Struthio camelus: one gene and its partners. The protein of the gene in region 2 interacts with the protein of the main gene of each other region in a biochemical or structural test. Links are inferred from orthologs where the notes say so. Each region holds a gene or a part of one and is shown on either strand. Other genes may lie near its edges. The genes, in order: UBE2V2, RNF8 and ubiquitin-conjugating enzyme E2 E2.

Evidence for each region.
Region 1: the proteins of RNF8 (region 2) and UBE2V2 form a complex in vitro, tested with the Homo sapiens proteins (2 studies listed by BioGRID). The link is inferred for Struthio camelus from reciprocal best matches to the Homo sapiens genes RNF8 and UBE2V2.
Region 3: the proteins of RNF8 (region 2) and ubiquitin-conjugating enzyme E2 E2 form a complex in vitro, tested with the Homo sapiens proteins (2 studies listed by BioGRID). The link is inferred for Struthio camelus from reciprocal best matches to the Homo sapiens genes RNF8 and UBE2E2.

The regions. Positions count from the first base shown.
Region 1 is NC_090943.1:140,987,171-140,994,392, reverse strand, and holds the start of UBE2V2 (ubiquitin-conjugating enzyme E2 variant 2), read left to right. Parts: upstream 1-4,214; 5' UTR 4,215-4,333; coding exon 4,334-4,430; intron 4,431-7,222. UniProt on the Homo sapiens protein: Has no ubiquitin ligase activity on its own. The UBE2V2/UBE2N heterodimer catalyzes the synthesis of non-canonical poly-ubiquitin chains that are linked through 'Lys-63'. This type of poly-ubiquitination does not lead to protein degradation by the proteasome.
Region 2 is NC_090944.1:104,607,508-104,615,092, forward strand, and holds the start of RNF8 (E3 ubiquitin-protein ligase RNF8), read left to right. Parts: upstream 1-4,480; 5' UTR 4,481-4,994; coding exon 4,995-5,084; intron 5,085-7,585. Other genes in the region: AARS2 (alanine--tRNA ligase, mitochondrial), read right to left, coding at 8-116, 429-574, 1,019-1,163, 1,709-1,903, 2,737-2,882, 3,569-3,757, 4,169-4,393. UniProt on the Homo sapiens protein: E3 ubiquitin-protein ligase that plays a key role in DNA damage signaling via 2 distinct roles: by mediating the 'Lys-63'-linked ubiquitination of histones H2A and H2AX and promoting the recruitment of DNA repair proteins at double-strand breaks (DSBs) sites, and by catalyzing 'Lys-48'-linked ubiquitination to remove target proteins from DNA damage sites.
Region 3 is NC_090943.1:43,805,644-43,812,811, reverse strand, and holds the start of ubiquitin-conjugating enzyme E2 E2, read right to left. Parts: upstream 3,076-7,168; 5' UTR 2,712-3,075; intron 1-2,711.

The DNA of each region.
Region 1 (7,222 bases), on a different chromosome or scaffold from region 2:
ATTAGGTCTTTCTTAAAGCAAACTGCATTTGACAGCCTTAGTGGGAATTTTGCCTAATTTGAAATCTGGACTCCTTGATTTAACAGCACATTTGATGCAGCTGAGCTGCATCTGAAAAATAGAAAGTCTATGTTTCCAAGCAACTCTAGGTTTATGCTTGCAGCAAGCAATTATGACTGTTCAGAGAAATCTGGTTTTATTTTCCTAAAATAGATTTGTTCCTATTTATAACCCCTAGGTGGAAGAGAATCAGCCAAGTGACTTTACCCATTTCCACAATTCAGAACACAATAAATTTGACTGCATAATATAACCGTACTGTTCTTCCGTTTGAATGTTCCTGACCACTGAAATAGCCTCCTGGGGCAACGGAGTTCCGGGCCTAAGTTATACAAGGCACAGAAAAAGCTCCCTGACAAATGGAATGCTGCAAAAGGTATCTTTGCTTTAAACTAAAGTTCTGCACAGATCAGTTTGTTCACACCCCAAATGTAAAGCTGTTCTAACTACTAGAGAATTTTCTACAAGTATGTTCTTATCTCCCCGCTGGTTTTCTAGTTTTCCCCAAAACAGTAACAACTACCCCTGTCCTGCCCATGTTGTTGGTACTTTCGAGCTTCAAAATACTTCAGATTTAAAGAAGCGCTTCCTTAATTTAAAAAGGGAGCTAATTTTAATATATAATTTAAAGATAAATTAAACTAGCCAACAGAGAACACTTAGGCTTAAAGTGCAATAAAGGTAAAACTTTAAAATATAATTAAGCATATATAAAATTTTCCTATTTCAAAATTTACAACCAAAAAAAGCAAAATTTCAGTCAATTTACAGTCAAAAGCAAAATTTCAGAAAACAGAACTTTTGACTCTCCAAAACCTCTTACTGTTTTCTAACCTGCTCATAAAGTTTTTCCTTTGGAAGAGGAAAAAAAAAAAAAAAAGTCTTTTCATGTCATATTGATTAAATCAAATTAATCTTCTTAAGAAGGCGTAACAGGTAGAAAAATCAGTAATAGGAACATAGTCACCTGCTAAAACTAGGACACAAAAGGTCGGCCAACTCTAAAGGATGCCTCTCTTGAAAAATACGGAACTCATTTGGTAAAGGTTTCTGTAGAACACACAAAAAGGAAGGCACAGATGGCAAGTATTTCATATCCATACTGTACTCTGCATGCTTATTTAATTTTCTTAATAATGAGTACTGTTTTTTTGGGAGATAAAATAGTAGTTCACCTTATCTGGTAATAAAGTCACACATACACATGCAACCTACATATATGATACACATTTATGAAAATACGTATGTATAAACACAAAAAAAATCATGCCTATAATGAAACAGCACTGGCAGTGTCTTGGCTTCAACTCTGGAAGACAAGAGTCGGAGAACATTAAGAAGGGTCTCCAGTGTTTCCTGTTACTCGATGTTAAATGGTTAGTCTTCTCTCTTTGAAAGTGGCATCAAAAAAAAAAAAAAGGAGTAACTTTAGTTTACTTTATTTCTAATTTATGGTTGTGTGAAATCAGGAGACATAATGAGATCTACTTAGATAGTACTGGAACATAAAGATTTGTTGGCCTAACGTGACTGACATATATACTCTGATCTCCCCAAGAATCAAATACCAACATGCTTTAATGTTTTCCACCCTCTCACATCCTCACTCTATCTCGTCATTTAACTTGGAGGATCCAAGCTATATCCAACATACTTACATTTGCCCAAATAGCTGCTGATTCAGTGTGTCTGCAACTGTTGTAATCAGTGCTCAGCTGACAACCTTCATCAGTGGGTCAGAAAACAAACCTGAAAAGGATAGAAAGAAGTAGCAGCCGGTAACAGAAGACAAACAGTTGAATTTGCTAAAATCCTATGAAAAGCGATCTCGGAGGACTGTATTTCTCTTTCCTGAAAAGAAAGGCAGGGGAACTTGACTGAATCCTTCAGAAGCCTTGTAATAGTTTGGCATTTTTATTTGCTTTGATTCTAGGGAGAAAAAAAAAAAAAGAAGACAAGAATTGTGAACTTTTAATTAATCTTGCAAATACAGTACACCATTGCTTCTCCGAAGGAAAGAGTCTCTTGAACTACATTTATTAAATAACTCTGAGAAGAAAAAAAAAAACCTCTTTTATAGTCTCCTTCTTGATTTGCCTGACGTTCCTTAAGATATACAGATCGCACCGGCACGTAGGGCTCCCTCAACTCTCTCAAGATCTGCTCCAAGAACTTGGTGATTTCAGAAAGCACAATAACTAAATCCTAGTCTTTGCAGGACGTACAGGTTATTACCCAAATATGAATGTCTCCTTTTTTATAACTAGGATTATATTTGCACTCATGAAATAAACCGGTCAATATCAATGTTTAAAAGATTTTACTGAGCCAAATATTTAAGAAACATATCCTAAGTTGTCCTCTGCTTAGGTATAGTTCTTGGTGTGTCATAACATAATTCAAAAAGAACGCCTTTGGGAGCGCTCAGCAGACATTAAGTCAGTTCTTAGCTACAACCAGAACTCAAAGAATCAGAGACAGTGAAGGTTTATCAGGCAATATTAGGCTGTATTATCTTTTCATGAAAGTTATTCTTCCTTCCCAGTGCTGTATAAAAGCTTTCCATTTAACGTAGGTCACACTTAAGTTTACTTTGCTGGCACCAGGACAGACACTGGACTAGTCTGCACTGGAACATGGGTGGTGACACTCACTCTTTAGTAAAATACTAGAATGCATAGCAGGAGGAATGTCCCTAAGCCTGTGCCTGTCTTTCAGACAGGTAGAGGCCAACCACAGCTCCTGTTTGTGTTCAACTTAATCACAAACACAGCAGGAAATACTCAGCTATTCAGGCAGCACTGTCTGTCTATAAAACTACCCAGTGACGTCTCCAAAGAAAAAGTGATAGGCTGGATTTTAACTACATTTTATATCTTTTTAATATACAAAACCAAGTCTCACAGATTATCAAGCTTAACTGTCTTTTGCCACGTTCCCATGAGACAAAGATTCTGCCTGTGCCTCACTCTCACTATACAAAAACACAACAGAATCGGAGGGAAGGCTGCACACTGAGACTTATAATTTCTGCACGACCTATTTCTGAACCAGATGTACTTAGTGAGCCATCTCTGAACATGCAAATTGGAACTGCAGGCCTCACTCTGAGCCTAATGGCCTAATCTTCTGTGAAGTGCATCAATGAGAGAAGGAAAAAAATCCTTATTAGGATTCCTGCACCTTGAGCTCTCTCCCATGGATTTTACTACATAACAAAACTACGTAGTCACCAGTAAATGATAATTTCTCCAGTATAATTAAGTAGTTTTGAGAATAATAATCCCACCCTTCCCCCAAAAAAGGGAGAGAAAGAGACCAGAAGAACTGGTTATACAGAATGATTTGAAAAATAGGCTTGGCTGCAGCATTCAGAGACTTAGGGTATAAGAACTCACTGACATTCAGTGCATACTTAGCATCTACTTCCTTAGGCCTACTTGAAAAACCTAGCCCTTGTCTCCACTGACTACATACACCACTGTACTACAAGGTTATTCTAGAGTTTAAGCAGGGAAACATCCCTGCCAGTATGAGAGCTGCATTCACTGATGAAGCTACTTTACTTAAGAGTGCACTCAACACACAGGTAGAGCAGAAAAACATCATAGCCAGACTGAATTAAAAACTTAAGTAAGCTTAAATTAGCACCTACTTCAGCAAGTTCTTCAGCTGGAGTTGTTCTCGATTCCATCCTTCCAGCTGTTTCCTGGATGCAGCGCTACATTCTGAACGCACTCTGAACAACATCAGGAAGGAAAACAACAGCTATTAAGCTTTTACAAAGAAAGACTGGTGTCTCAAGCAGGGGTTAGAAGCGCTGGGAGTTGAGGCCTGACTCATACCAGTACTGTAGTAGCAGTAAGTGCTACATATGGACCCCCACAACCATCCCCTCTCCCGAGCAGCACCCCCAGCCAGAGCTCTGAACGGATCCATCTGAGCCTTCACCCCTAAAGCAAGCACCCCCAAAACCTCGAAAAGCTAGGCTGTGTGAAACCGCCAACTGGAACAAACATCACGAAGAGGAAACCTCTCAGCAAGAAGCTGTGGAAGGACTGCAAACTAACCTGCTCCGCCAGCTCCGTCTTCGCGGAGCCCAACCCCGCTTTGCTTCGAGCCACCAGCCCCCGCCCCCTCCCAGGACAGCCGTTGCCCTTCCTTGCCGGGCTCCCGCCCCGCCCCCCGCTGTGCTAGAAGCTTCTCCGGCCGCGCATGCGCCCCCGCCCCCTAACGGCCGCGCCGCTCCGCCCTCCACACGGTGCGGCCCCAAATGGCCTTCTGCGCAGCGCCCGCTGTAACGTGGGGCTATGAGCCAGTCACGCAGGGAGGCGGTTTCCCGGTCCTTGGTACGAGCTGCGGGATGGGGGGTAAGTCTTCGAAGCAAACCTCGCGTGTACAATACGGCTTCACAAGGCCCAGTTGTGATGTTCCTGCCTCAGCAGCCCAGTGTGAAAAGTTACCTACTGTACCTTTTGGAGGGTGCGGAAGGCAACGTTGGAAAAAGCAGATTTTGTTCTGGGTTTCCCAAACGTGATGGCTTTGAATGGAAAATAGTAGCAGCTCAGCATATGCCTTTAGCTAAACCTGCAAATATTTTTGAAATGTAAGTTCATGCTTGTGTTCATGTCTGCACGTTTTGTTAGCACTGCTCTGAGGATGGAGGTTGCAAAAAGTAACGTATAAATACAAACATAGAGCCGTGTTTAAGGAGGGCAGATCTCTGATCTCACAGACACGTTTCTGATAGTTCATAGCATTTGAGAGCCTGAAATAACTTCAATTTACAATATACTTTTGTTTTTTGGCTAAAGAGATTACAAAACTTTAAGTTTGTTTGTGAAAACTTGTGTTATTCTAACAAAAAAGCTTGCGCTCTGAGCCTTCAGCATTGTATTGCCAGATTAACTACGTTAGCTGTGTAGCCGGAAAGGCAGTTTTACTAGAGGATGGGAAAATCCACCTTCGATCTCTTTAGCTAGAAGGGCTGGTGAAACTGATCTAGCTCCCTGTTCTCTTCTCACTCCCTTACTGCCTCTGAAAGTTTTGGGGTTCTCCATCTCCAGAACACTTGTAATTCTGTTATATTTACATGTTACTGAATCTCCCCACCCCCTAAAAAAATATTTAAAAAAAAAAAAAAAGGAAGATAGAGAATCAAAACCTTACCCTCAGCAAAAGCTGAGCAGATTTTCTGGTGGCAAAAGCTAGTGGTTTTTGGTAGCTCATGAGTATTCCTTTTGCTAAATATCGTGCTAGTACGATGACAACTATTTCAGTTTCTCAGAGGGATAACAGGTTGTGAGAATACATCAATGATATTAGACAGCCTTAAACAAAATCAGTGCAGACTTTGAATTTATTACCAGTTAATTACGATCATAGCAGCATTTGAATTTGTAGGAGCCGTCTCTAAGATAAGCCACCTGTGCTTAGATAAAGACAAAAAAATTGTCTTTCTTTATGCTAGAATAATAATACCCAACCAGGAAGTTATTCAGGATTGCCTATTCTAAATATACCTTTTGTCATCCCTGCTTAAAAAGGTTGGCCTCTGCCGTGGAGTAAGTAATGTTTGTTAGCTACCTCACTCCAAGCTTCTACAGATAATTAGAGCAGTGAACATGTAGCTGAATTTACCTAAATAACATCACATGAAAAACGCATGTGCCCTCCTTCCCTAGGATTTTATATTGTACTTGCTATTACGAACTCATTGCTTGCTCTAAGAAAGCTTCCCACAGAAGAAAATATGGTTGCTGTTTTTGTAGCCTTTGCAGAGTAATTTCCTCATAACTGTTCGAAGACTTCACCTTCAGGTTGACTTTTTTTTTTTTCATTGAAGTCTAAACACTCTGACAGTTATGTGAAGCTGACAGTGCCTTCCGATGGCCTACTCGAGCTTTATGTGTTCGTAACAGTTGGTCAATTGTTTTAATTAACTTTGAGAACTAGGATTTTGTGGTACAGAAAGCTATTATGTTTTGCCCGTAGTGTTTTCAGCGGAGAAAATATGCTGAATCTTGTGTGCATGCTCTAGCAGCTGCCATGGAAAAATGAATTATTTATTATTGCAGAGATCCCTCTTCACTTCACAAGTGCTACAAATACATCACTTTTATGTTGTTTTTAACCTTTAAAGCATTCTACAAATTATTAGTAAACTACATTACAAACATTCACTCCCCCCAAAAACAAGAATTGTATTTAACTTTGGCAGACTTGGTTTTAGTATTTTTAGAAATTCATCTAACGTAACTTAGATTTAGATGGCCATAAATCCCCAACAGCTTTATCCTTGCTTCTTATTCTCACTTGGACCCTTCAAGCCTTTAGAGAGCTAACAACTAACTCCATTCTTTTTTCTGAGTACTATAGTTAGAGAGCTAACAACTACCTTCTTTTTTCTGAGTGCTATATTCTTTCTTCTCACATTTTCTGGTGGCTGGCTGTTGCAGGCACCACCAGGAGATCTGTGGCAAATCAACAGTAAGGTATATCAAACATCATGTGAACGTTCCCATACAGAATAAAGACAGTAGATTAAGCTCTGCCTGCTTTATGTTACCACCTGTCAAAGAAGCCACCTCCAGAAACATTTGATCGATCACGTGTCCGTACTAACGTGGTTAAACCATCAGATTCAATGTCACCAGAAGCGAGTAAGTCGACACGAAAACGAGCCAGGGCAGTTATAAAGCAGTCAGATGGCAGTTCTGCTTCACATTCTGAGTTGATTTTCCCCTTAGCCTTCCTTTATGGATGAGTAATACCTTCCATTCTGCAGTCATGTTTTTGTGAAATGAGAAGTAACTCAGCAAACATTCATGGTCTGGTGTAGGGCTACCACGGCACAACAATAGCCTCTGCCTCTCTGTAAATGGAAGAGCGTAAGCTTAAGCAACAGTGAGAATGCCACTATGTGGTGGATTAAAGTATGTATATTTTGGCTGTAAGTGCAACTATACATTCGGCCTACAGAGAAGAGCACGAGTTCCCGCTGCCGTGTCAAATCAGGCAAAGTCTTCACATGCCTCAGAGAAGCTGAGTCCCAGTTCTCTTGTTGAGTATGTCATTTTATATACAGTAGGAAGCTTATGTTTCAAAGATACTATCTGAGAGACTTCCGTAGTTGATAAAGATGGGGAGGTGCAGAGTGAGC
Region 2 (7,585 bases):
TACTCACCAACACTTCCACTACAGTAGGAACCAGGGAGGCCAGGAGCCCAGGTGGGGCATGGAGGACTTCAGAGCAAAAGCGGACAGCCCTGCGCAGGATCCGACGCAGCACCAGTCTGAAAGCAGGGCACGATTTCCTAGATAGCCCTGTGAGCATCCCTGCCCTGCCCCCACATCCAGCACACCCCACACGCAACTCCTCTCTGGCCTGATCTATCCATATAGGCCAGCTGCACCCCACTCTTCACATCTATCTGGGGATGACCCTGCTGATCTTAAATGCCTCCAGGCCCTCTCCTTCGTGTTTCTACACAGCTCACCCACTCCCTGTCTTTGACCCCTTCCACAACCTCTCCCCTAGGGCTGCTCATATTCCCTTTCCTTTCCGGAAACTCCATCCACCCTGTGCCATTTCTGCATGTCCTTACTCTGCTCCAGACAGGCCTGGGTAGATGCCGTCAGTGATGCACACGCACAAGGTACGCACATGATCTGCCACCACGCGGTAGGCCATATTCACACCCCCAACGTCAGCCTTCCCGACCAGACCTTGGTATCTGGGCCCCCCACAGCCCTAGAAGAGAAAGTAAGGAGACAGATTAGCAGCTGTGAATAGCTGTAGAAAAAAAAAGTTGCAAGGTAAGACAGCCAGCTACACACTTGACTTCATGCTTGTCAACTGCCTCTGCAGCCTACGATGCAAGATGTACTCATAAAACCTTCTGAGAAAATTATAGGCTTGTGTGCCTAAGAGATGTCAACCAATGCCCTGGCCCTGAGGTATTTAACAGACCCTTGGAGAAACACGGATCAGTAGAGCTGTTATCCCAGTGGATTCCCAATCTGGAATTTTCCCCAGCTTCTCTAGAATGCTGCTGTGGGCCTAGCTACACATACCTCCTGTCTTAAAATACTGCATAGTAATGTGTGTGGAGAAGGCTGTGTTATGGTACCAGTCAAGCAGTCTGCATTCATGGGGCTTTGGCTTAGCTGCGGCTCTGAACAGGAGCATCATCACCTTGTGAATGGCATCCAGGATGGGAGTGAAGAGATCTGTGTCATAGTTGGAGCGCTTGTTCTGCAGAACTGTCACCAGCCTTTCCAAACCCATTCCTGTATCCACATGGTGCTGGGGCAAGGGAAGTAAATTCCCCTCCACCTCTCTGTGAGCATGCCAGAAAAAAAAAAAAAAAGGCAAAAGAGAAGCAGGGGTCAGTCCAGGGCCAAGGAACAGGAGTGGACGAGTCATAGGGGATGGGAGAGTGACAGCAGGTGGAAATAGCACTGGGGCAGGTGACTCAAAAGAAGAAATCTCAGGGAGAGGACTAACAGCAGCCGGAGGTGGCACTGCTGGGCAGCCATGCTCTGACCATTGGATAGTCAGAACATGGTGTAGGGAAAAAGGCCTGCCCTGAACAGGGGCCTAAGCCCTTCTCCTCCTCCTAGCAGTTATTTTCTGTGCTGCTGCAGACCTAAAGGAACATCTGGGATGAAGCAGTGAGGGAAAAGAGGCAGCACAGGCTGAGGAAGGACAGGAGAAGCATGGCAAAGGGGGCCTATGGGCCACAATGAAAACACATTTCCACTGCTTCCCCTTGATCCTGTACCGCCACCTCCTGGAAAGCAGTGAGAAGTCTGAAAAATTGACTAGGGTTTGGATGTCAGAGGAGAGGGAAAGGCTCCGAGATCTGGACTGGATGCCTAGTACCTGCTATACTGCATAAAGACCAGGTTCCAGATCTCCACTACATCAGGGCTGCCCTGGTTCACCAGTGCTGCAGCGTTTCGGCCACCACCCACGTGGTCATAGTGGATCTCTGTGCAGGGACCACAGGGACCTGTGTCCCCCATCTCCCAGAAGTTGTCCTTCAATGGGAAAGGAAGCACATGGCTGGCAGGCACCCTGGAAAGGCAAACAACAGGGATGGCAGGACTGGGGCACACACACAAAATACAGATTAGCCTAGATCACAGAGAAAGTTGGAGGCAGGATCCCTTCTGACTACTACAAACTCAGAATGTGAACACATTAAGGTTCATTTGCTTCTGTTCACACGGAATTAACCTCCTTAGCAGGGGTAAGCTGGACCAAAGCAGACAGATCCTACTCACTACTCAGCATGGCTAGCAAGCTCAGTCTGGCCCCTGCTGATCGATGGCCAGCTCTCTGTTGGGTCTTCTGTTGGGTCTTTTCTCCCTGGAGGTTAGCTGAGCTAAGATCTGATCAGGACAAACAAAGCTGGACACCAAACATGGCACAGAGTTATCAGCCTTCAGCCCAAAGTCTGCATACAGCCTGGAACAAGCTCCCAAAGTACATCAGGGCTTCATCCTCAGGTTGAGGGGGCCATTGCTAGCTTTTTGAGGACAATGCGATCTCCGCAGCTCGTGACGGAGAGGAAGCAAAGGATCACACAAAGAAAAGAAGGATAGTGGGAGTAGCATTACCGCACATGGAACAGAAATCACCACGTCACTTCATCCCGGTCAGACAACCTTCGGTTCACAGCCCTTCTAGACTGACTGCATCTGAACAACAGCTTAAAGATGAAGTCCCCCAGAGTGCTCCGAGTTTTGGGACTTTTAGCAGTCCCAAAAAAGCAGAAACCAAATGATTTCAAAGCCCAGTTTTTGGCTCCTACATCTGAATCCCATGAATTAAAGAGCAAATGAGAGACTATGGAGACTGAAACGTCAGTACTTGCTGCTCTGAACTTCTTCTCCAACACAACTTACCCCAGGCAGAGCCATATGTCCCTACACTCCTCGTCTGCGCTCAGCCCCAGCGAAGAGTCTCCACCAAAATAGGTGACGTACAGACGATCTTTGGGAATCTTGTAGACTTCTGTCAAGAGCTCCCAGGCCATACTACATGCCTCCTCCTGAGCAGGCAGGGAACACCGAGGAAGTACAGTAATCCAGGGCATGAAGGGAGACAAGAAGGTTCTTTAGAATGGGAGTCAAACACCAAAGAGGCTAATTTCAGTTGTTCTGTCCCTCTGCAGTCTTAAGACATATGTCAGTGAGTATGATGGGGGTCAGGCCAATTATAGACAGTTCTTCAAATAGCTGTGGGAAACTGTGGCCTTCCTAAATCCTTGGGAGACCTTCAGGATCACAGCATGGTCTACACTGACCTGCTTACCCGCACAGTCACATGGATTATTTTCTTTCCTAGGAAGAAATGCATATACTAGAAAAACAATTAGCATTCTTTATCCTTCTCCCTTTTCGAACTTTCCAGTAACAAGCACAAAATGAAACAGGAACCTTTTTTCACCCATATTACATGGTCAACACTGGCACTCACACAGGGCGCTTTGGTTTGTATATGCGGTTGGCAGCTTTGCAAAGGCTGGGCACTTTCAGAGAAATGAGTTCTCTGCCGGGCACATTTAGTGATTCAGCACGCTGACTACCTCTGCTGCAAGCCACAGAGCTTCCAGCAAGGAATTCAGAGCTCGCCAAAGCCTCGTGCAAATACCTTTATGGTGCTACAAGACAGATCTGATGCTATAAAAGAAAAGCTGTATCTCCCCCTGGAGAGGGCTGACTCTCATTGCCTCACCTTAAAGTAATCTCCAAAGGACCAGTTCCCCAGCATCTCAAAGAAGGTGTGATGGTAAGTATCTCGGCCCACATCCTCCAAGTCATTGTGCTTCCCTCCAGCGCGCACGCACTTCTGGCTGTTCACCACCCGCTTGTACTGTGCTAGCTCGCTCCGGGGATGCACCGTGCCCAGGAAAATGGGCTTAAACTAGAAATCAAGGCAGAGAGACATCTCCTGTTGCTAGACACCGTCCAGCATAGCAGGCTTATGACTGTAGCTCCAGAAATACAGATAGGGAGCTACAAGCAGAAGATATGCACATGGAGATGGGAGAGTCGTGAGGTGACAAGGAGGTACAGGAGCCGATCAGGCCACAGGCTTTCCTGTGAAAAAGGCTTTCCTGCTACAGATAAACCGCCTTCCTCTGAGGAAGAGGAGTTCCCGGGAAGCCCGCCCACGGCGGCCTGCAGGCAGGGGCCCCAGGCAGAGCACAGCCGAAGCCCTCGGCTCCCGGTCGGCCGCAGGCCCCGGGCCGAGCCCCGACAGTGCGGAGAGCCGGGGGAGGGGGCGGCGGGGCGCATCGCCCCTCGCAACCGGTCCGCGGGGCGGGGGGAGCACCTGGTTCATGCCCGCGTTGACGAAGAGGAGGCGCGGGTCCCCCCGAGGCCGCACGGGGGCCGAGGGCAGGCGGCGGTGGCCGTGGCGCTCCTGGAAGAAGCGGAGGAAGGCGGCGCGGACCTGCCCCGCCGCCGGCCCGCCGGTGCCCCAGCGGCGGGGGCCGCAGCCCCAGCGCCACGGCACGGCCGGCAGCAGGCGGCGCCGCAGCCGCCCGGCCGCCGCCATCTTGGCCGAGGGCGGAAGGCGGGCGAGGGCGCCTTCGGGAAGGGCAGCGAGAAGAGCGGGAGGAGCCAGGAGAGGGCGCGTGGCAGGGGCCGATGGGATCGAGGAGGGCCGCGGCTGGGCCCGGCAGCGCAGGGCGGGGCGGGGGTGGCTTCCCGCCTCCGTTCAGGGTGTGTGCACTGGGAGCGGCCGGGACGGCCGCCAGCCCGCCGCCCGGGCCTCCAAATCCCCCGACTGTGGCGGGCGGGCGGACCTCGGCCGGCCGGCCTGCCCGTCAGCACCCCGCTCCTAAGCCCGTGGGGCGCCCTGCGAGAAGATGCGCACCACAATGGCGCCGCTCCTCCCGCCCCGCAAATCCCCCAGGCAACGCCGCCCGTACGCCGCCGCCCCCCACCGGGCGCATGCGCAGCCCCCCCAACCCCCTCCGCGCTCCAGGCTCGATTAGCCGGGCTGCGGGGCGGTGCGCCGCCGCTATGGCTCTGCGGCGGCTCTGCCCTCGCGAGAGCGCCGCGGCCGGGAGCGGGTAGGCGGTGCCGCCGCCGCCGCCGCCGCCGCCTCAGCAGCGATTGCTTCTGCCTGTCGCAGCGGCGGGAGGGCGGGCGCCATGGCGGCGCGCGGGGCCTCGGGCTTGGCCTGGTGCCTCCGCCGGGTGGGGGCGAGCGGCGACTGGCTCCTGCTGGAGGCCGGCACCGAGGTGAGTTGGGGGGCCGGGCCGCCGCTGGGCCCCGCCGCGGGGCCCCCCCCGGGTGAAAGCCGCGGGGGCGGCCCGGCGCCCGAGGCACGGCCCTCGCCAGCCGGGGTGAGGCGGGGGGAGCGGCCCGCCTCTCGCTGAGCCCCGGCTGGGGGGCGGGCGGGTGACTGTGGGAGTGTGCTGTTTTGAGAGCCTGTTTACTCGCTAATGCGCTTTCCAGAAAAAAAAAAAAAAAAGCTATCTAGGCTAATGAGCGGCAGTTGTTAATTATTATTCAGAAGAGCCGGTCATTAATCCCAGTTTATAAATTATTTCCCCTAAAGCAGTCTTGGTGAAGCGTTGCTCGGTATTTCTGCGCTTTCTTAAAGACCGATCTCCCCCCGATTACAACCAGTTTATTTCAACGCCAGTAACTTGCAAGGGAGCAGAAAGCGGGGTGCTGCTTTTGAGATCAGAGGTTTAAACTTAATGTGCTATGTCTTCAGACGTTAACTTTTTTAACGTGATGTCATGTTTAAGCAGAAGTTGTTTGTGTGATAATGGTAACGTAAGAAAAAAAAAATCCTTAGCCTAATTAATACCGTGATGCTCTGGCGAGGTTAGCAATATGTGACATATTTAGTTTTAGTGGCTAAAGTTATTCAAGTGTAAACACAGCCAGTATTTTCAGCCATTTCAGTTATGTTTCAGAATGGCATAGGTATAAGCTTTTCTTCTGTTATCATTTTTTTTTAGTTAAAAAGCCAAAACAGATCTTTTTACTCTTGAAGTGAGATGACAAATTACCGTATTGAAGATACGGTGCTACAAGAGGATTGCAGTTTTTATGGTCAAAAGCAGGCAGTTAAATGTTGTGGGTTCACACTGTAGTTAATTCCTTTGTGCTTATGCCTTGCACAAGGTACCCTTGCTAATTCATCTTTAAACGCTAGGCAGATCTTTAGGCAGATGTACGATGTGTTACTTTCACTCATGGATTTGAAGCCAGCAGGGGTGTAAGTGTGCTCAGCTAAGGAACTGAGTAGTGGAGTTGCAAAACTTGCAATAAGGGCTCTGGTAATTGGATGGAGAATCTTGTTTACGTGTTTTTACCCTAGTTATTGGCATACTGTTACCCTCCCTCTCACAAGCAACGGAGTAAATGTGTGGCTGGTGCTTAAGGCTTACCAGCTTACAGTCTGGCACGTTGGCTCCAAGTGCTGTCACTGGGGCTTTAAATGGTGGTGTCAAACTGTATTGCTGATAGGTATGGGGGTGCGTTATGTTGTGGCAGTGATGAACTCTAGCAGGCAAGCGGTAACGTCTGAAACCCCACGGCTGTTGCTCTTTGCTCAACGAACGTTAGCGAGGGGAAGTTTTATGATTGGCTCTACGCAGTCTTGGTTGTATTGGCACTCTAGGCCACAAGACGTGCATGACCGAGAACTAATAATAGTTGATGTGGCTTAGGCATTTCTGCACAGACAAAAGCAAAGTTGTGTGTATAACTGAATCCACCTGAAGTTCTTGCTGATATGGAGGGAGCTGTATGGGGCAGACAGGAAGGTGGTGGTAGAGAATCATCTTCATTTTGAGAATCATCTTCATCTTGCAGAAGCAACCCATGTTGACAGAACATTAAGAGATGTGAAGCATTTAAGAGGTAGGGAATTCTGTGGTTCAGTTTGCTTTCCTGATCTTAGTTAGCTTCCTTGCATTTAGTTACGATGTGGGAGTTTGAGCCCTTGCTTTCAACTTGAAGGATGGGACTGTTTCACGTAACATGTAGTAAATTAATTTTCCTTGGCTGCAGGATCTTGCCCTCTTCTTGTAGGAATTGGAAGGTGTGATGCAAAAGAGTTGGAATTGCAGGGGGAAAAAGGGGGCAGTTTTCATCTAAGACATACAGACTAGGTTGTATTTTTATAATATGCCTAGTCTGATTTTACTGTGGGCTTCTGCTAAATGGTGTATTGTCCTGCTCTTTCTGGCTGCACGTTCTTGTATCTATTGCATTGGATTCATGCAGTTGTCTAATTACATGGTAAACTGGCTGAAAACTTGTCCTTTCTAAAAGAAATTACTTCCCTGCAACACACAAATGAATAAGAAATGTCTGCGACTATCAGATCACGTGAGGAGGCAGTGGAGAGAGGGAGAGCAAAGCCATGCTTTAAATGGCAGCCTGCAATTAGATCATATTTTTTGATAAAGTATTGTGAAGTAGTACCATTACAAATTCTGTCCATTCTTCTTCCGGAAGGTACTGTGAGATTCTAATCAGATTATTGAGATCACCTTCACTAGTGGTTATGAATGGCATGTAGCTTAGTTTCTGAGCCCTAATGTTGATGGTGTGATTTACAGAAGTATTGCATGCTTAGGGCATGGTTACATTCACGCTTTTGGGTAGCAGTTTTCTAGGCTGTACTGTTTACAACAGTTGAACAGATGCAGCTAGTCAAAGAAAAGAGTAAGAAGTAATCTTGATCAGTTTGTTGCTCTGTGGGAACCACAAACAGTTG
Region 3 (7,168 bases), on a different chromosome or scaffold from region 2:
CTTCCTGCATGTAGTTATGGAAAGAGGCAGCAAAGGAAAAGCAGCGTCACATCATTGTCAACAGGGTTATGCTAAAAAGGATACTTTTAAAAAGGCCATAAGCTTTTTTGGTAGAGTTGCATGTAAGAAAACAAATTTACTCCTATCTTGTAAAAGCCTTACCAACATCTGATACTATCAAGTAGTATGCACTTTAGAGTGGAAGAATCAATCTTTTCAGGCATTATTCACATAACTCAATCCAATTGACTTAAGCAGGAATTAAATCTTTCCTGTCTAATTTATGAGGCTACACAGAAAGGAAAGGAAAATCTGGAAGTATGAAATGCATTCAAAATAGTTAAAAGGTTAAAAAAAATAGCAAGTGATGGATGTGGGACTAGGTTATTCTTAATCAACTTACGCTACATTTTGAGGTTCATAAAAGCAGTGTTTTATAAATATATATTCATATATAAATACATGCAAAAGCACAACACCTAGGCTGCTGCATGAACTGAAATAATATATCGTTTGATTTCTAAAATTAAAATATAAAAATTGTTCATTATTAGCAGAACAATTTTCCCTGCAATATAGATACAATATCATATTCACCGTTATTCACATATTTGCACAGGTTAATCTTTAGATATTTATAACCTGGCTGTCAAATGTTATGATGAAAGAAAAAAAAGACTTAGAGACAATAAAAGACAAGAGTAGCATACTTTGATAAGTCATAATATGAATTTAATAACTGTAATGAAAATTGGAAAGCAGGGACCCGCTTCATTTGCTTCTATATGCAGCTAAAATACAAACTGATTGTTTTTATCATGTTTCTGATGGCCTTTATTTACTCTAGATTCTATTTCTGATCTTTGATTAGTGCATCTAATTTTAAACACAAAATTATCTTCACAATGTACCTATCATTTAGCGCTACTGGTCAGAAAGTCAAAAGCGTATTTAATGAAGCCTATATACATAGACATCTGCTGTGAATAATCTTGGCTATAAATATTACTATTATCCAAAAACAACTGTATTCACTTCATAAGTTCAGGTTGCTATCCAGCAGATAAACACTGTAACAGTAGCCCAGAGCATATAATTACTGTAACATGTAATGCCAGCATTTACAACAGGAAAACGCTTAAATCTGTCATTTGACGTCTGGCTAGTTTCTTATTCTTTCTCTCTCACAGCTCTGTGTCTCTCTCTCTCTCCCCATCTCTCTCTGTTCGCCTTTCTGACATCCAGAGACAATTATTTCCATGCCCTCCGCTCCTAATGCCTGCAATTTTAGAAATTTTGCATAGTTAAAGGGATGTTCAATACTGTGAAAAAAGTGTATTTTAACAGCCCTGAAGTCAGACACTTCAGATGTGGCCAAACTTAGAAAACAAGCACATGAACAAATAAAAGAATGGAAAAGAAAAATCAGCTGGGGAATGACACTGTAGGAAAACATTTCCGTGCAATCAGGACAGACAAATGCAAGATATTTCTTGAATCTAGACAGCCGTAAGTGTGTTTGCAACAGTCACACAGAGTAAAAAGAGAAACACGATGTCCAGTTCCCTCGGCTGCCAGACTATTCTACATGTGGAATAGGACAAGGGTTTTTAACCTTCCTGCTGTTGTGCTGAGAAAATTGTGTGTGGTGGGGGGGGAAGGACTTAAAAGTCCTTCCCTTAACATGAGATGATTCAGCATCGACAGAGACTACAACTGTTAAGTACAACTATAAATTCTAAGTGAAGCACGTCCAGAAGACCCTGCTTCTGTCGTATATATCCACTGGCACCTTCCCCTCCCTTCTCAAGAGGAAAAAAAAAAAAAAATCCAGCAGTCAGGGAAAGAGAGATCCTGGCAGCGCGCAGATGGGTCCCAAGGGCAGCAGAGCTAGTGATGATGCCCTTCTAAAGCGGTCTTAATTTCCTATAAGCAAAGATAAATTGAATATTTCTGCAGGGGTCCATGAAGAGACAGGAGCAGCCGCCTTACTTCGTCTTCATTAGAAACCGTAAAGGGCAAGAGGATCACAACACTACAGGGCAGAGAGGGGAGCCCGCTCGCTGCCCGGCCCGGGGCGGCGGGGGCACCGCGGCGGCTGACACGGCCCCGCACACGCACACTCACACGCGCGCACACACACACACACACACACACGCACAACACACGCACAACTCGCCTATTTTCCTCCTGCCCGGAGGGGGAGGGGGCGGCGCATGTCACGGAGACACAATGTGCAGTAACTATGCAGTCCTGGAGGACGGCGTGAGACGGCCACGGGCACTTCCCAAACCTGACACCCGCCCCCGCCGCCCCGCTCCTCCGTGGGGGGGGGGGGGGGAGGGTGCCGCGCGGGGGGAGGAGGAGGAGGAAGAGGAGGCCGCGAGAGGAAGGCGGGGGGGATGTCCGGGGGGGGGGGTGCCCCGGCCCGGGTTGCGGAGCGGGGCCGGGGCGGGGGGAACAGGGGGCCGCTGGCAGACGGGGCAAGTAGCGGGGCCGGCGGAGTTGTGCCTGGGGTGGGGGGGGGGGAATGGCGGCAGCAGGGGAGGGGCGGCGGGGAGATGCTGGGGGGGGGACAGGGGGTGACATGGGGGGGGGTGAGGGCAGAGGTAGGCACCGTGGGAGCGGGCAGGGCCCTGGCGTGGGGGAGGGGAGGCGGACGGGACCGGGATTTGGGTTGGGGGGGGGGGAGCAGGAGGGGTCGCCGCTACCTGCGGGCGAGCGCGGGTCTGCGGCGGCGCCGGGCTCAGGCTGCGGGGCGATGCGAGGCGGGCGCCCCGCGTCCGGCCGGGCGGGGGGCTGCAGGGGGGCTGCGGCCGGTCACTGAGTCATGAGCCCGCTGCGCTCGCCCTTTCTTTCTTTCTTTCTTTCCTTCCTTCTTTCTTTTCTTCTTTCTTCCTTTAATCCCGCCGCCTCTTCCCTCGCTCCCTCAGCAGCAGCGGCGGCCACTGCTGCTGCTGCTCCCACCGCCGCTCCTACCCCTGCTGCCCGGAGAGAAGTGAAGCCGCTGCCGCGCGCGCGCGCGCTCGCGCCGCCGCCGCCGCCTCCGCGCGCGCGCGCGCACTCGCGCGCGCCGCCGCCCGGCTAGCTCCGCGCGCCCGCGCCTGGCAGCCAATTCGCCCCAGCGCTGGCGGTCCGAGGAGGGAGGGAGGGGCGTGCGCGCGCTTGCGGCGGCGGCGGCGGCGGGGGGGGGAGTGACAAGCGAGCGGGGCGGGCGCGTGCCCGCGGGGGCCGGCCGGGCGGGAGGGGGAGGGGGGAGGGCGCCGCCGGCGGGAGCGCGCGTTAAAGGGAAACGCGGGCGGGGCGGGCTAGAGCGGAGCCGGGCAGGGAGGAGGAGTGACAGGATGGGGGGGGGGGGGCGGCGGCCGTTGGCGAGGGGGGGCAGGTTAGCGCTTCTCCCCCCCCCCCCCAATTCCTGCCGCTGGCGTGCCCGCCGCCCCCGAGCAGCTCACGGAGTGAGCGTTAACGGGGTGCGGCGGGGGGGGAGGGGGGGGCAGGCCGTGAGCGGGGGCGGGGAGGCGGCGGCGCCGGCGGGGTTCACTTTCTTAGCTCTTCTTTTGCCCTTTTCGCGTTTCTTTGTTCCCTCGGCTTTCAGCCCCGCGGCTTTGCCTGCTGCGGTGCTGCCAGCCGGGCCCGTGCGGGAGCCCCGCACCACCGCGCTGCCTTTGTCCTCGCCCACCGCCCCCCCCCCCCCCCGGGCGGGGAAGGCCGGTGCCCGGCGGGGGGGGGGGGGGCAGGCGCGGCCGGCGGCCCCCCGGCCGGCAGGGGGGCACCCACGCGTGGCCGGGCAGGGCGCAGCAGCGGCGGCAGGGCCAGACCTGGTACTTTGTTGTCATAGTTAAGTGTTCGCCGTGGTCGTTTTGGCCGCGGATACGCGGCTGGGTGGTACAAACAGCCCGGGGCGGCTGAGAGCAGCCGATGACGTAAAGCATCCCGGCTGGAGATGGGTGCTGCAGCGTGGCTGCGCTCAGGTGAGCGCATCTGGCCTCCCACGCCGGGAGGGAGGCCTTGCCTTACGGAGTGGGAGAGGCCAAGGCAGAGCCACGCTTAGATGTTACCTATTCGGTATTAATGATATTAGCCTGGAACGAAACAAACCCCTGGCAGGGCTGGCTGTGAGGTAACCAGCTCTACCGCCCTAGCTGAAATGCTAGTTCTGCCTAAAACGCTGTACTGGCATTACTTCTTCAAGCTTCGCCTAACATGCAACTGATGCTTAGCTGGGCTGTGCAAATATATTAATTCAAACGTTTCTTCGGCCAGCAGGGAAATACACCCACCCTGGGTAAAGGAGTAATGGCAGGTCATAATGTTTTCCCCTTACTGATGACTGAAGGGAATTAAAAAAAAAATGCATTCATGCTATTCCACATGTACAAGGAAAAGTTTCTCCCCATGTGAGCTGTAAAGTACTGTACTTTTTCTGAGTTGCGGTTATGGTGTAGATGGAGTCCATACTGCTAAACACATGCAAATCAAGAACTTGAACCACTGCTGCGATATTTAAGGATTAGAAACACCATTGCCACCTCTCTCTCATATTATATCCAGACAACAGAAGTTACTTTTGCAGTTTCCATCTACATAAAATTAATCTTTCTCTTTGTTGAGTAATTGCTTTGAAATAACTTGTTTTATTGTGTCTTCCCATTTCCTTATTAAAGTAATCCTAGTCACGTTTTTCACATAGGCTTAAAAACACTGCAGTCGGCTAGTTCTTCCTATTTCACGTGCATTTACAAGATACCTTTTCCTCCTTCTTCTAATGAACTCATGAGGAAAAGCTCCTGATGCTCCAGCTAGGTGGGTTTCTAGCTGCTGGCATGCACTGATTCCTCACAAGGACTAATAACTAGGTAATTAAAAGAATATGATCCATAACAATCTTTTAACGAATGCAAATCTCCTGCAAGTGGTGCTTTGTTATCATGCTGAAGGGGTGCCGGCTGTGTTGCGCGCTCTTGGTATCACAGTCTCCTTTTCCAAAATCACTTAAATCATGCCTTTCTTTGAGGCATTCAGAAACAGACCTCCTGAAAACCATCCAGGAAGCTATGAAATTCACTTCTAAATGAGTCTTCCACCATACTTTCTTAACGTTGTTCTGATTGCTTAGAGGTGCCTTAAAGGAGGCATACGTTTTCCCATCAGAATATCTATCTATTGAAACTCCTTGGCCCGTGTCAGGACTCCGCTTTGGTGGCAGTTCCGTGTGCTTCGTTACAGTTCTTCCCTGCTAGAATCCACAGGAAGCAACAAGAGGGAAGCTCGGTGAATAGACTCCTTTAGAGAGGGATAGGACAGGGCCATAGCATGTCCCAGAATCTGGGTCATAAATTCCTGGTGCCAAAAAAATCAAGGGAGTGCTGAAGTGGAGCACCAAGTGGAGGGTTTGAATCATTGAGAGTCGGGCCCTGATTTTAATTTGGGTGCATAACCTCTGGCCCAAAACCCTAAATGGTACCTTACATTGAGGACAACTAAGCTAGGGAGAAAATTTGTACTGCCTTAATATTCGTACTGTATTTGTACTTAATAATTTTACTGCCTGAACTTGCACACTGAAGCGTGCCTTCTGATTTTTGAAGTGAAGGTCTTGAATGAGCCCTACCTATGTCGTGTAAAGGGAATAGGTCAGGGTAACCAACTGCTCCCAAGTATCAGTTTTATCCTGTCAGCCTTCTGAAATAGTATGTTTAGCCCTCAGATGTTAAAGGTTGCATGATAGTGTGTTACTCAAAATCTTTTTGAAGACTTTTGTTAAGTTTGCATCCCGTATGGTGAAATCCTGGCCCTTTTGAACTTAATGGAAATTTCAACCACGATGGGGTGCTAAGCCACACGTTACACTTTTTTAGAATACTGGACACCTCCGGAACAACTTGAGTTCTTTACTCTCATAAAAGCTTACAGCTTTCTCAGAGAGACACTCAGAGTTAAGATAACCTGGCGCAGGCTGCCACGCTTTATGACTGTTACAGTTAAGGACACTTCCGTTAAGGCCTCTTGGTTCAGCATGCCTGTTACAAGGACATATATGTCAATCAAAATCCATGAAGTTGGAGAAATCTGAGACAAGTTTCCATTTAAGAATGTTTAATTTAAAGATATATCGGATTAATTTAGGTTCCAGTCTTGGAGGTTTCTTCTGCATTTGCATTCATAACTTATCATCTGCTCACATGTAAAATGACACGTCCTTTTAATATTGCTATTTAAGTTTTTAAATGTGCATTGTGGTCAAGTTATAACTGATAACAATTTTGTATATACTTGACATACAAATTGAGGGGATTGGTTTTCTCAAGTAGAGAAAAGACCAGGAAGTATCTCGACTGTGATACAGCTGAAAGCGTTAACAGTAGCTCTCTTGTGATAGCATAATTCACTCTCAAAACTTAAGTATTTCATATTAAAGATTGAGATCAAAAATACTCAATTGTCTGTGGAGCACTCTGTTGTTCTATTCATCTCTTTCAGCCAAATCCTAATGAATCAGATCATTTCATCCCTTCGAGCTATTATCAGCAGAGGACTGGAGGAATGGGGACAAAGGTGTAAAGAACTACCTTATTCCACTTTTCAGCTCAGCAGGGGCTATCCTATCTTGTGTCACTCACCCCATTTCTTCCCTGCTGCTCAGTGTGTTTGATGATTCTTGGGCCCTATCATGCTGTTTTGAGAGCAGCCAATAGCCAGCTATAGCCCTCTCTTTTCCAGTCCTGTCCTCTATCCTGAGAAACTGAGGTGGGAAGGTAGAATAGCATGAATCTCTATAGGAGCTTTATGCTACTAAGGGATTCCTCTCCCATTATTGGCTTTCTTTACACTGCTGTGACAGTACAAAGCCATAAGGATAGTCCAGAGCCTGTATCTGGCCTGTACTGTATTCTCTTTTCCACCTCCCTGCTACTTTTCTTTCTCCTGTGTTCAGTTAGTTCATTCTCACATCATACCTAATTTGTCTTTTTTTCCTACAATCTTGCTTTGCTTTCGTTCCCACTTGGCTGAATCCCACTCTGTTTGTTGGCAAAGGTAAACTGCAATTCACAGAACCCTGCTCTCTGGAGCCCCAAGACACAGCGTTTGAGTGTTTCAGAGATCGAGATTCTTCTTGTTCATTTTGTTTTCCAGCTATCAGCATGTAGTATAAATGGAGTAGCAAGAA